3 linked regions of the Sus scrofa genome follow. The protein of the gene in region 3 binds, or shares a complex with, the protein of the main gene of each other region. Links are inferred from orthologs where the notes say so. Each region holds a gene or a part of one and is shown on either strand. Other genes may lie near its edges.

What was found.
Region 1: NUP107 (region 3) and NUP85 share a complex: the UniProt entries of both Homo sapiens proteins name them as parts of the nuclear pore complex. The link is inferred for Sus scrofa from reciprocal best matches to the Homo sapiens genes NUP107 and NUP85.
Region 2: NUP107 (region 3) and CETN3 share a complex: the UniProt entries of both Homo sapiens proteins name them as parts of the nuclear pore complex. The link is inferred for Sus scrofa from reciprocal best matches to the Homo sapiens genes NUP107 and CETN3.

Annotation. Positions count from the first base shown.
Region 1 is NC_010454.4:6,101,168-6,105,105, reverse strand, and holds the start of NUP85 (nuclear pore complex protein Nup85), read left to right. Parts: upstream 1-1,133; 5' UTR 1,134-1,482; coding exon 1,483-1,515; exon of another isoform or gene 1,516-1,797; intron 1,798-3,481; coding exon 3,482-3,575; intron 3,576-3,938. UniProt on the Homo sapiens protein: Essential component of the nuclear pore complex (NPC) that seems to be required for NPC assembly and maintenance. As part of the NPC Nup107-160 subcomplex plays a role in RNA export and in tethering NUP96/Nup98 and NUP153 to the nucleus.
Region 2 is NC_010444.4:97,590,516-97,594,538, forward strand, and holds the start of CETN3 (centrin-3), read right to left. Parts: upstream 2,806-4,023; 5' UTR 2,684-2,805; coding exon 2,667-2,683; intron 869-2,666; coding exon 733-868; intron 1-732. UniProt on the Homo sapiens protein: Plays a fundamental role in microtubule-organizing center structure and function. As a component of the TREX-2 complex, involved in the export of mRNAs to the cytoplasm through the nuclear pores.
Region 3 is NC_010447.5:33,020,650-33,024,161, reverse strand, and holds part of NUP107 (nuclear pore complex protein Nup107), read right to left. Parts: intron 2,285-3,512; coding exon 2,194-2,284; intron 2,062-2,193; coding exon 1,985-2,061; intron 1-1,984. UniProt on the Homo sapiens protein: Plays a role in the nuclear pore complex (NPC) assembly and/or maintenance. Required for the assembly of peripheral proteins into the NPC. May anchor NUP62 to the NPC. Involved in nephrogenesis.

The sequences.
Region 1 (3,938 bases), on a different chromosome or scaffold from region 3:
GTTAACCACTGAGTCATGACTGGAACTGCTGCTACTGAATATTTATTTTACATTTGGAAAATACTAAGCCTCTTTTTACCCGCTAAATATGGATGTGAAGAAGTTCCCATGTGGCACAGTGGGTTATGAATCCGGTGTTGGCCGCACCTGTGGCACGGGTTTGATCCCTGGCTGGAGAACTTTCACAAACGTCAGGTGTGGCAAAAAAAGAAAAAGGACATGAATGCATAATTTCTCATAGCCACACTAATAGTGTCAGAAACATCAGTGAAACCCCGAGACATTTAGAAAAAGCAGCAAGACATAGATGGCAGATCAGTTTGGAGTTTGTGCAAAACAACTTTGAATTTCATCCTATGGATGGCTGCCTTCAGAAGGATTTGGATAAAACTGTAATTGCCACAAGATTTTTCATCCTTTCTTTAACAGGGTGTATCTTAAAAGACCAGCTACTGGGTGACTGTTTTCCTAACAGATATCTTATCCCAAGACATCTTATTTCCACCATTCGAATAGGTTGTTCAGAATCAACTCAAGAAGTGCTTCCCCAAGTAAAATACTGAAAATTTGTCTTGTTTTCAGATCGAATTTCTTTCCTAGATAATAAAAAGTGCTACATTTTCAAGCACTGTTTTCGAAGGTTTATCTTCAAATTTCTTATTACCTTCGTTAAAAAACTCGCTTATTTGGGAATTTAGAACCAGTACTATTCCTTGTATGTGTATGTACTTGTATACATGGCATTTACAAAATAACTCTTTTAGGTTACTGGAGCACTTTTGAGGTTTCCCATAACAAGATCTGGGCTCCTCTGAGTGTTTCTTCCTGCTTTTCTTTGGTGAGATAACAAACCAACATTTGTGTTCAATTAAGCTCGGCGGTCTCGATTTCAGCTGTTTCAATTTTGTGCCCACGCCTCTTGAGGATTTTGCTGTGGAAGTGGCGGCGACTGCCTTCGTACACAAGCCGGATGGACCAACTGTGCTCGCCTGCCATGAACACGGCTCAGAGGAGCAACCGCGACGGCGCTAACCCGCAGACCAAGCAGCAGCGGAAAGCCAGGCTCGGGAGAGGCCGTGGGCTCGTGCTCGTCAGAAGCACGCCGAGCGCTGGTCTCAGCCCGCGCATGCGCGGCCGCAGCACCGCCGCTCCCGCGGGCTCCCGGGGTCTTCTCTCCGGCCCGGCTTGGGGTCGTCCACGGCGGCGCCTGATCTGGAGAGAACGGTACTTGGAGGGTAGACTGACCCTGGCGCTATTTTCCCTGTCGTGCTGTCGAGGCCAGGAAGGAGGGACACGTGTATAGTGCTGCACAGGGGTGGTCGCGGCCAAGAGGAAAGGCCCCTGCAGCGCTGGGGGATTGGGCCTGCAGGCAGAGCAGGAGGCGCTCGGAGGGGGTCCTTTCTCGCAGCGGGTTCTGAGCGGGAGGCCCGAGCCGCGAACATTTGCGGCCCTGAGAGATCCAGGCGGCTGTGGTGCGGCGCAATGGAGGAGCTCGATGGGGAGCCGACAGTCACTGTAAGGGCGCCCCCGAAAGTATTGTTTGCCTTCAGCGGTTTCGTCACTGCAGGGTTGTCCACTTCTCGGCCGCCTGCAAGGCGCTCGTCCCCTTCCCTCAGATTAATTGCCACCGTCCGGAAGTCACATCGCGAAGCTGCCCGAGTTTGGGTTGCGGTGGTCGCTGGGTTTCTGCCCCTTTGTATATTCCGAGTACGTGGTCCTGGAGGCCCCGCTCCATGCCTTTAACGAGCAGGTTCGAACTAAGCAGAGGAACTGGAGCCTTTTTGTCTCCCAACCGAAGTAGGTTTCCCATCACAGTGCCCGGTTTCTGCTTCAGCTGGCCCAAGGTTTATTAAACGTATTTATTCTCTCCGGAGACTATTCCTGTTCTTATTGCTGTGTTTGTTTTCCAATTCTGTTTGAACTCTCAAAAGACTATGTCAGATGTGGATGATTTGTGATGTTTTACAAAGAGATTCAGGGCTATTAGACAGGAGTTATTACCGTTCTCCCTTTTTGCTGGGATGCTCTTTTCTCCGTTAGAGTTATATCCTACCCGTTGTTTTTTTTTTTTTTTTTTTTTTTTTCCTCTTCCTATATATAAGCTCCTGCATTCTTTGTCAGAAAAGCCTCACTTGACCTCCCTAACTAGGTCAGATAGTTTTGTACGTTTAAGCTTGTTCTGCATCTCTTAGCTCTTGGTAGCTTGTAAGCCCCACTAAACTGCAATTTGCTTGACCTTGTGTTTTTGCTTTTTAGAAAGTGGAGGTGCCTTCAGCTTTCAGCAAAAAGCTTGCAATGCACTGTCTGACAAAACCACAAAATAGATGTCATTTTAAAGCTAACTGGACAAAAAGAGACAGTTTTCTTTTAAGGGCTGCAGGTGCTTCATATGGAAGTTCTCAACTTCAGGCAAGGGGTCCTATCAGAGCTACAGCTGCTGGTCCAAGCCACAGCTACACCAGATCTGAGCTGCATCTGTGTCTGCAGCCTATACCATAGCTTGAGGCAACGCTGATCTTTAACCCATTGAACAAGGTCAGGGATCAAACCCACATCCTCACGATGTCAGTCGGGTTCATTTTCCTGAGCCACATTGGGAAGGAGACATGAAATCTTAAATAGCAGTTAACATGGTTTGTTGCTCGCTAGAGGGTTAGCTTTATGTATAGATATATATGTGTATGTATATATATAAGTGAAAATTTAAAAAATTTCGTTTTATGACTGCACTTGTGGCATATGGAAGTTCCTGGGCCAGGGGTCGAATCAGAGCTGTACCTGAGGCCCATGCTGTGCCACAGTCACACAACACTGGATCCGAGCTTCATCTGGGACTTGTGCTGCAGCTTGTAGCAATACGGGATCCTTAACCCAACTGAGCGGGACCTCCACAGCAGGAACTCCTCAATTCCTTTTAAGTTTGTTAATTTCCCTTTTTCTCAACTAGAGATCATTAAATCATAATAATTTTTTTTTTCGTCTTTTTGCCATTTCTTGGGCTGCTCCCGATGCATATGGAGGTTCCCAGGCTAGGGGTCGAATTGGAGCTGTAGCCGCCGGCCTATGCCAGAGACACAGCAACGTGGGATCCAAGCCGCATCTGCAACCTACACCACAGCTGACGGCAATGCCAGATCCTTAACCCACTGAGCAAAGCTAGGGATCGAACGCACAACCTCATGGTTCCTAGTGGGATTCGTTAACCACTGAGCCACGACGGGAGCTCCATTAAATCATAATAATTGATTAGGGAGTAGCTTTCCTTTTTATCAACATTTGTGTTGAGATGGCTAGCAAAACTCAGGAGCTCATTTAGGGTCTAACAGAGTGGGCTGATCTCAACCACATTCAGGTGTGTTCATTGGTTATACTTAATAACTCTCATGACCCTTGATTTCTAGGGTTAGATTTACAAGTCAGTTGAAGGCAAAACATTAAGAAAGAATAACAGTTTTTGTTCCTTATTATTTTCTTTTACTAGTTGATTCCAGGAGTGAATTCCCAGAAGAAGCAAATGTGTTTTGACTGGGGTCCAGGGGAGATGCTGGTATGTGAAACCTCTTTCAACAAAAAAGGTATTTAAAAAAAATTTTTTTTTTGTTTTAGATTATCCATTGGGGAACATTTTTTTTTTTCTTCTCTCAGATTTGACTAGCTGAGATACAAAACAGTTGAACTTACTTTATGTCATTTTCATTTTTGAAAATTTTTAGCTGCTTAGGATTTTCATTTACTTATGATACTTGGCACATGTTGAGTCTGGGGAAAAAAAAATTAACAATGGTTTTCCTAAAGAAAGGTTTTTTTTTTGTTTTTGTTTTTTTGGCTTTTTAGGGCCACTCCTGTGGAGATTCCCAGGCTAGGAGTCTAATTGCAGCTACAGCTGCCGGCCTACACCACAGCTCATGAGTGAGGCCAGGGTTCGAACCAAAACCTCA
Region 2 (4,023 bases), on a different chromosome or scaffold from region 3:
GAATTTAATGAGAGTGTACAGGAAAAAGAGAAACCAATTAGGAAGTTTCAGATATGAATTAAGATCCCAAACCAATATAATAACAATAGCAACAAATAGAAGAAACATTATTAAAAAAAAGAATTGATCAAAACTGGGTAACTAAAAGAAACTGTGAGTACAGAGCTATAAGAATACTATCTTCCTCATTGTGCTGAGTGTAAGATCCAACCTACCTTAAATACCAATTCCCCTTTGATTCTTTATAAATATTTCTAGAACCTAAAATTGACACTTTCCCCATTAGCATTGTGTCAACATCAGATATCACTTATGTTTCCTGCACCAGAGAAAACAGGATGAGACTGTTACCAACATGTTCAAATTAAAAAACGAGTAACACTCCCTCAATCTGAAAAATATGTCACCAAAAAAGAAGAAACACCAAAGTGGGAAGAGGAATACGGTAAGTATAGTTTAAATACCATAGCTTTATTTTTTTTAACTACGTGAATGAAAAATAAGCCCCTCCATAGGAATGTATTTTTACATTATACTATTCATTTTACCATATGAGAAGGAGTTTCTAAAAAGATATGCTACAAGTACTATTCAATTTTATTAAAAGCACTTAATGGTAAATGTTTAAAATGATTTCATATTTCCAAAACCAAATTAAAATATTTATAAATATATTTTTAATCAACTGTCAATATGCAAATCATTTTAACAGATAGAGGTCGAGTATATTACCTTTAATTCATGGTAATCTATTGCTTCATCTTTGTCCGTGTCAAATAGTTCAAAAGCATCTTTAATTTCTTGTTTCTGTTCTTCAGAGAGTTCTCTTCTTTTTTTCCTTTTTGTTTTGTCTACTACAAGCTCATTTCTATGAAATGAAGACAGAAAACCCTATTTATTGCACTTTAATCCCATTCTCCTATGCTTCTAAATGACTCAAATAAGAATCCAAAAATACAAAAAATTAGCCAATTAATAAATACCTAAATTTCTAAAAAGGAAGTATTTTCCTTACATGAAAGGAAGAGATTTTCCTTACATGAGTCAAAGCCCTGCTCTTCCCATCGACTAAGGTGCTATAAACTTGTGCTTCCTAAAACTGAAAAGTGTTAAGTTATTAAAGAAATGAGGACCTTACTTCCCTTCCTCCTGGCTTTTTATTTATTTCCACTAATATTACTATGGAAGAAACAAGAAATGTGAATAAGAAACATTAGTTTTATATCAGAACCCCCCCAAAAAAACAAAGCACCCATAGTTACTCGTTTTACAATGTCTGTTAAAAAAAAAAAAAAGAATTCACAATTGATGATCACTACATATTAGGCTTACTTTTATAGTGTTAATAACTATCAAAATTACTACAAAAAGACATCTAACTCATCAATTAACATAAACTCTTTTGGCATTGTGGATCAAAAGTGTTTTTAGATTACACATTTTTAAGTTTGGCATTTTATTTGCAATTTCTCCCACTGATATTATTAACAATCACCCAAAAAACTTAGCCTAAGCATACTATTAAACACCAGAAAAGTACATATTTGTGCTAACGCTATATAATAATGTGGAGTCAACTGTCTTGTAAATCTCACTTAACATATACATTTGGATTTAATTTTTCATAAACCCTGAAAAAGGCTGAAGAAAAAAAGGAATTTATTGTAAAAGCCAGAAATATCTTGAGATGTTCCAAATTTTCAAATAGGGTTGCAAGTTTGAAGCAGAAGAATTCTGTAAAACTTAGAAAATGTAAAAACCCAGTTGATTTTATTAGACACGTTATCTGTTTGCATTTTAAGTTGCTTTGTTCTCTGAAATCTACCACACACACACACACACACACACACAAAAGGCAAGAGATGACTAGAAAGTGACCAAAAGAGATATGATAAAGCTGAGGTAGATCTTGCTTTCACAGGAGACCCCACTTCACACAAGCCTGGACGTTCTGGGGGTCGGCCATTCTTTTCCCAAGATTTTGAGAGGACAAGTTCGCAAACCACCGACCACTGACCCCAGCCAAGGATACCACGATTATGCCTTATCAGAACTCGGTACCTTTTTAGTTAGGTGTAACTCTATAGGTATTTTTACGGTAACACGCCTAGTCGGAGTTGGGAAGTAGGCAACAAATGGTAGGTTAGTGGTTGGAAATGAGCGAAAAATAAACTCAGGGAATCTAAGAGATTACCAACTAAAAGCACTAAAATGGGTCTACTATTACATAGTGAAGCAAGGAGGGCTTTACGTTATTTCTAAAATCTACGGGTTAGATGTTAGCAGGAAGGGAGCTGCGGTGGAGGCCATAAGCGAAGGAATGACGGGAACTTTACTAAGGATGCTCCAAGGCCTGGTTTCCTAGTTCACATAAACAAGAGCGTAGAAACCTCGCGATATTTCACTGCCTCCTCGAGACTATAACAACCCAGGTTGTTGGGGTCCAAAGCCCAGTGGCCTGACAGAAATGACCGTCTAACTGCACGGAGCTCACCCGGGCCCCGAAGATGAGGAGTCTGGCCCAGGAAAGGTGGCCAAGGCTCCCTTCCCTCGTCCCAAACTGCATTCCCTTCCTTGCCTCGCCCCAAGCTGCCTCCCTTCCACACACACCCACCCTGGGGCCCGCTGCGTGGTGTGGAGAGCATTGCCGCCTCCTCATTACCGACCTCAGAGCTAAACTCATTTTCTCTTCGGCCAGAGACTTTCCTCTCGAGAACGACTTTAACCCCCTACTCAAAGCCGAACGACTTCCACAAGCGGTTCAACAGACAACGACCTAAGCAGCCTCAAGACCTCCCACAAGGTAGACATTTCTGAGCTGGATTGGTTGAAATAGCTAATGCCTTGCCCATTAGGGCGGAAGCGTCACTAGTCCTCTTCTCTCATTGGGCATTTTTCGCGTCAATCAAAGAGCTCTCCCTTTCGGCTCTCTTGCTGCCCCTCCCGCCTTTTAGGTTGACCTGTAGCGTAGCCCCCACCCCCTCCAATCCTTTGCGGAGCGAGGGTCTGAGTGTCCGCTGGGCTTTTCGGACTGAGGGTGACTGACCAAAGCCTCAGGAGAGAAGGCCTGCGGCATGTGGACGACGTCTGGAAACGGCGCAGGAAGGGAAGAGACACCCCGCAGGTTGTCCTGCTAGGAGGAGGAAGTAGCTTGTGAATGAGATCTGCGAAATTTGGCTCCACTCTATTCTTAAATTTTGGATGATTTAAATACATGGGGAGTTTGTTTAAAACTCAGATTTAAGTGTCACTTTCCTTCATTCTGATTCTAGTAGATGTGAATCTGCCTTTTTTCTTTTTCCTTACAAAATCCAAATGATTCTGAGGCAGGAGCTGTTAATTATACCTTTATAATCACTGGGTTGAATTATTAGGCTATTTACGGTGAAGCTGTGCCTAGATGGCAATTGCTCCCCTATACCTCCTTTGAGGTGCTTTGGTACTTCACTACCGAACCAAGTCTCTTGAAGCTCACTGGGGTATTTAATGTGTTTACCTGTTCGTCTCTCCTACTAATCTTGAAGGCCGGGGTTTCATTTAACGCTATTCCTAAGGCCTAGTACAATGTCTGATGCAGAGGTGCTCAATAAATATTGCTGTATTGAATGGAATCTTGCTATGGAAACTCACAAAGTACTGAGCTAAACTGCAAATCTCATAAAATAGCCTGAGAGTGTCCAACAGGGGAAGGGGGAAGATATATATAGAAGGGAAAGAACACAGCAGGATAGAAGAAAGACTTCTTGAAGGAGATGGCATTTATGTTAGGCCTAGAAGTTTGAACTAAATTTAGATAAGTAAAGAATGTGTTGACTTAAAAAAAAAAAAAATGCACAACCTAAAAGTTAAGTTTTGTTTGGGGCAAAATCAGGTCTTAAGCCCAGGAGGAAACATCTGAAGTAACCCAGAAAAAAACATTCTGCAGCGGGAGTAGGGGGGAATAAGGATATAGAGGAAGTTTTTTATTGTCATTGGGGTTTTGGGTTTTTTTTTGTTGTTGTTGTTTTTTGAACAAAGGGCAGG
Region 3 (3,512 bases):
CCCTCATTACTTAGTGTCTGAATAATTCTGACAGGCTCCTAACTAGCGTCTCAGCCTTTATTAGTCCATTCAACTTTAAGCCTATCTTCCACTGCCATGCTAATCTTAAAGTACTGCTGTCATGTGCCCTCTTGGGTTTTTTTGTTTTTTGTTTTTTGTCTTTTTGCCTTTTCTAGGGCCGCTTCCGTGGCATGTGGAGGTTCCCAGGCTAGGGGTCTAATCGGAGCTGTAGCCGCCAGCCTACACCACAGCTCACAGCAACGCTGAATCCTTAACCCAGACAAGGCCAGGGATCGAAGCTGTAACCTCATGGTTCCTAGTCAGATTCATTAACCACTGCGCCATGAAGGGAACTCCGCCCTCTTGGTTTTTGATGGCTCACCACTATCTATGGTATAAAGTTTTCATTCCTTAGAACAGCACGTGAGGGCCACCACTGCCTGCGTTTAATTCACCCTTTTCAATATTTCCCATTACAGTCAGTTCTGCTAAAATGCTTGTTTTGAAAACGGGCACTTGTTCCAATGCAACTGACATATCAAGGAATGCTTTTTTTTTTTTTTTAATGGCTGCTCCAGCGGCATATGCAAATTCCCAGGGCAGGGACTGAATCTGAGCTGCAGCTCTGACCTAAGCCACAACTGGGACAATGCCAGATCCTTTAACCCACTGCACCAGGCGGGGGATCAAACCCATGCCTCCACAGCAATCTGAGCCACTGCAGTTGGATTCTTTTTTTTTTTTTTTTTTTTTTGTCTTTTGTCTTTTTTTTGTTGTTGTTGTTGTTGTTGTTGTTATTGTTGCTATTTCTTGGGCCGCTTCCGCGGCATATGGAGGTTCCCAGGCTAGGGGTCGAATTGGAGCTGTAGCCACCGACCTACGCCAGAGCCACAGCAACGCAGGATCCGAGCCTCGTCTGCAACCTACACCACAGCTCACGGCAACGCCGGATCGTTAACCCACTGAGCAAGGGCAGGGATCGAACCCGCAACCTCATGGTTCCTAGTCGGATTCGTTAACCACTGCGCCACAATGGGAACTCCCCTGGATTCTCAACTCACTGCACCACAGTGGGAATTCCTCAAGGAATAATCTGAACATAGTACAAATTTCCCATTTGCTTATGCCCAATTTTGTGTATAAGACACACGAGCTGAATGCAGAAAACTCTATCTAGCTGAACCAAACTACTTAGAAATAGACAAAACTGACACACCTCAAACACCTACCAGCTTCCTGAGTTCTCCAAGTGTGTTAAAAGCTAAATTCACCTACAGCAAGTGTTACAATTTTGCTGCAACTCTGACACCCCAATTCCACAAGCAAACCTCAGTTCTATTTCAAGGTAAAGTGCCATATTTATTGCAGTGTTTATGTATTTCATAACTGTTTAACAGCGTATAATTGTGCTACTGCATTTAAGTTTTTATCTTTTTATGTATCATGGATGTTTTTTGAGTACAGTGCTCTTAACTCCATTTCCCCTAAAAGCCCTGTGGGTTTTCTGCACAGTTCTTCATGCTGTAATGATTCTTAGGAATGCATAGGTCATGTCATAACAGAACTGATCATATTTCCTTTTGTGAGCCTTCTGCCCTAACCTGGTAAACTTGCCTGCCCTTGAGTTTCCCAACCTAGGCATCCTACCTAGAATTCCTTCCTCTGCTTTTTCCAACAACTCAAATCCTACTAATTTTTAAAAGTTCAATTCTATACTCTCTCGGGAAGCCAGCCCAATGCCTATTCTATGGATTTGGTTGGTACTTTTTTTTGGTATTTTTGCCTTTTATCAGTGTTTAATTCTTAGTGTCTGAATAATTCTGATTAGTAGGTAAGCCTTCCCACCCTTATTTATAAGTTTGATTGGAAGCTCTTTGAAAACAGGAAATTCAGTTTTTATTTACTCTCAAATGTTTCACAGTGTCTTCAGCAGACCTTCAGTGAGTTAAGAGTAAAAATCAGTATCAGTAAATATATATCTTACATCTTCTGCCATCCTCCAACAACTTATTTTCCAAATGCATCGATAAGGATTCCCTTCAACAGGTTCTAATTCTGTTCCTACAAAATAGTAAAAGAAAGTTTATAGTTTAAAATGAGATTTCCTTATTTTGACAATGTCTAAAAACAAAAGCTATACTTGACAAAATATCCTCTTAGAGCTAAACCAAGAATAAAATCTATTAAAAGTACCTCCATTAACATTGGGGTCATGGTAGAGTTTCCAGCCTTCAAGTGTTGCAGCTCTCCATGCCTGACCACAACGCTTGCAGAGTCGTTGTGCCTTTAGAAACAAGAAAGAGCAGTTAGTGACATAACCAATGCAGTACTGGAGAAGCACTTGTGCCTTGGGGAAAAGTACCAGCAATTTTTTTTTTTGTCTCTTTGCCATTTATTGGGCCGCTCCCACAGCATATGGAGGTTCCCAGGCTCGGGGTCAAATTGGAGCTGTAGCCGCCGGCCTACACCAAAGCCACAGCAGCTCACAATCCGAGCCACATCTGCAACCTACACCACAGCTCACGGCAATGCCAGATCCTTAACCCACTGAGCAAGGGCAGGGACCGAACCTGAAACCTCATGGTCCCTAGTCGGATTTGCTAACCACTGAGCCACGACGGGAACTCCAGTACCAGCCATTTTTGACAGAATTACATAATTAATCACAGGATGGTGTAGGCAATTAGTAATGGTATTTCATTTTACCCATATGCATGTCCTTCTGTGGTCTCTGCCCTTCTTTAATTCTGCTAGAGACAAATGGGCTAAAGAAGTTGATGACCCCTGATTTATGTAAAAGCATTACAAAAACATTGTTAGTCTCCATAATGACAGGGTGCTATTACTCATTCAATTTCCTGATGTTGTTTTTTTGTTTGTTTGTTTGTTTTAAAATGGCCACATCCACAGCATATGAAAGTTCCTGGGCCAGGGACTGAATCTGAGCCACAGCTGTGACCCACGCTGCAGCCGTGGCAATGCCGAATCCTTTAACCACTGCTCTGGGCTGGGAATTAAACCTGCATTTCCATAGTGACCTGAGCTGCTGCAGTCAGATTCTTAATCCATTGTGCCATAGTAAGAACTCATGATATTTAAGTTAAATGTAACCAGCCAGATGAGCTTAATACACCAATGAGAAAGATACATGTTTATAGGTGCACTATCTCTTAGCAACCAGTTCTTCCTCATTTAGTTCATATGGTTTGGGTAAGTCATGTGGATTCCATCTCTGAACTCCAGGGTTAGGCATGTCACCTAGTAAGAATCATTCCCAGGACTCTTGCTGGAGATATAAATACTTCTTTTGCTGGGATTGCTAGCTTCTAAGAGAATGTAAGGCTGGAGCTGCTGGTGGCCATCACTGACACAAGTGGCTTCTTGAGAATGACGCCACAGAGAGGAGGGCAGAGTCAACAGCATGGGAGAGACAGTAACCTAATGACACCTTCTGAGCCCCTGGACCTGCTTATAGCCAGATATAACCTCTTTACTTCTCTCTTCCATAAGCC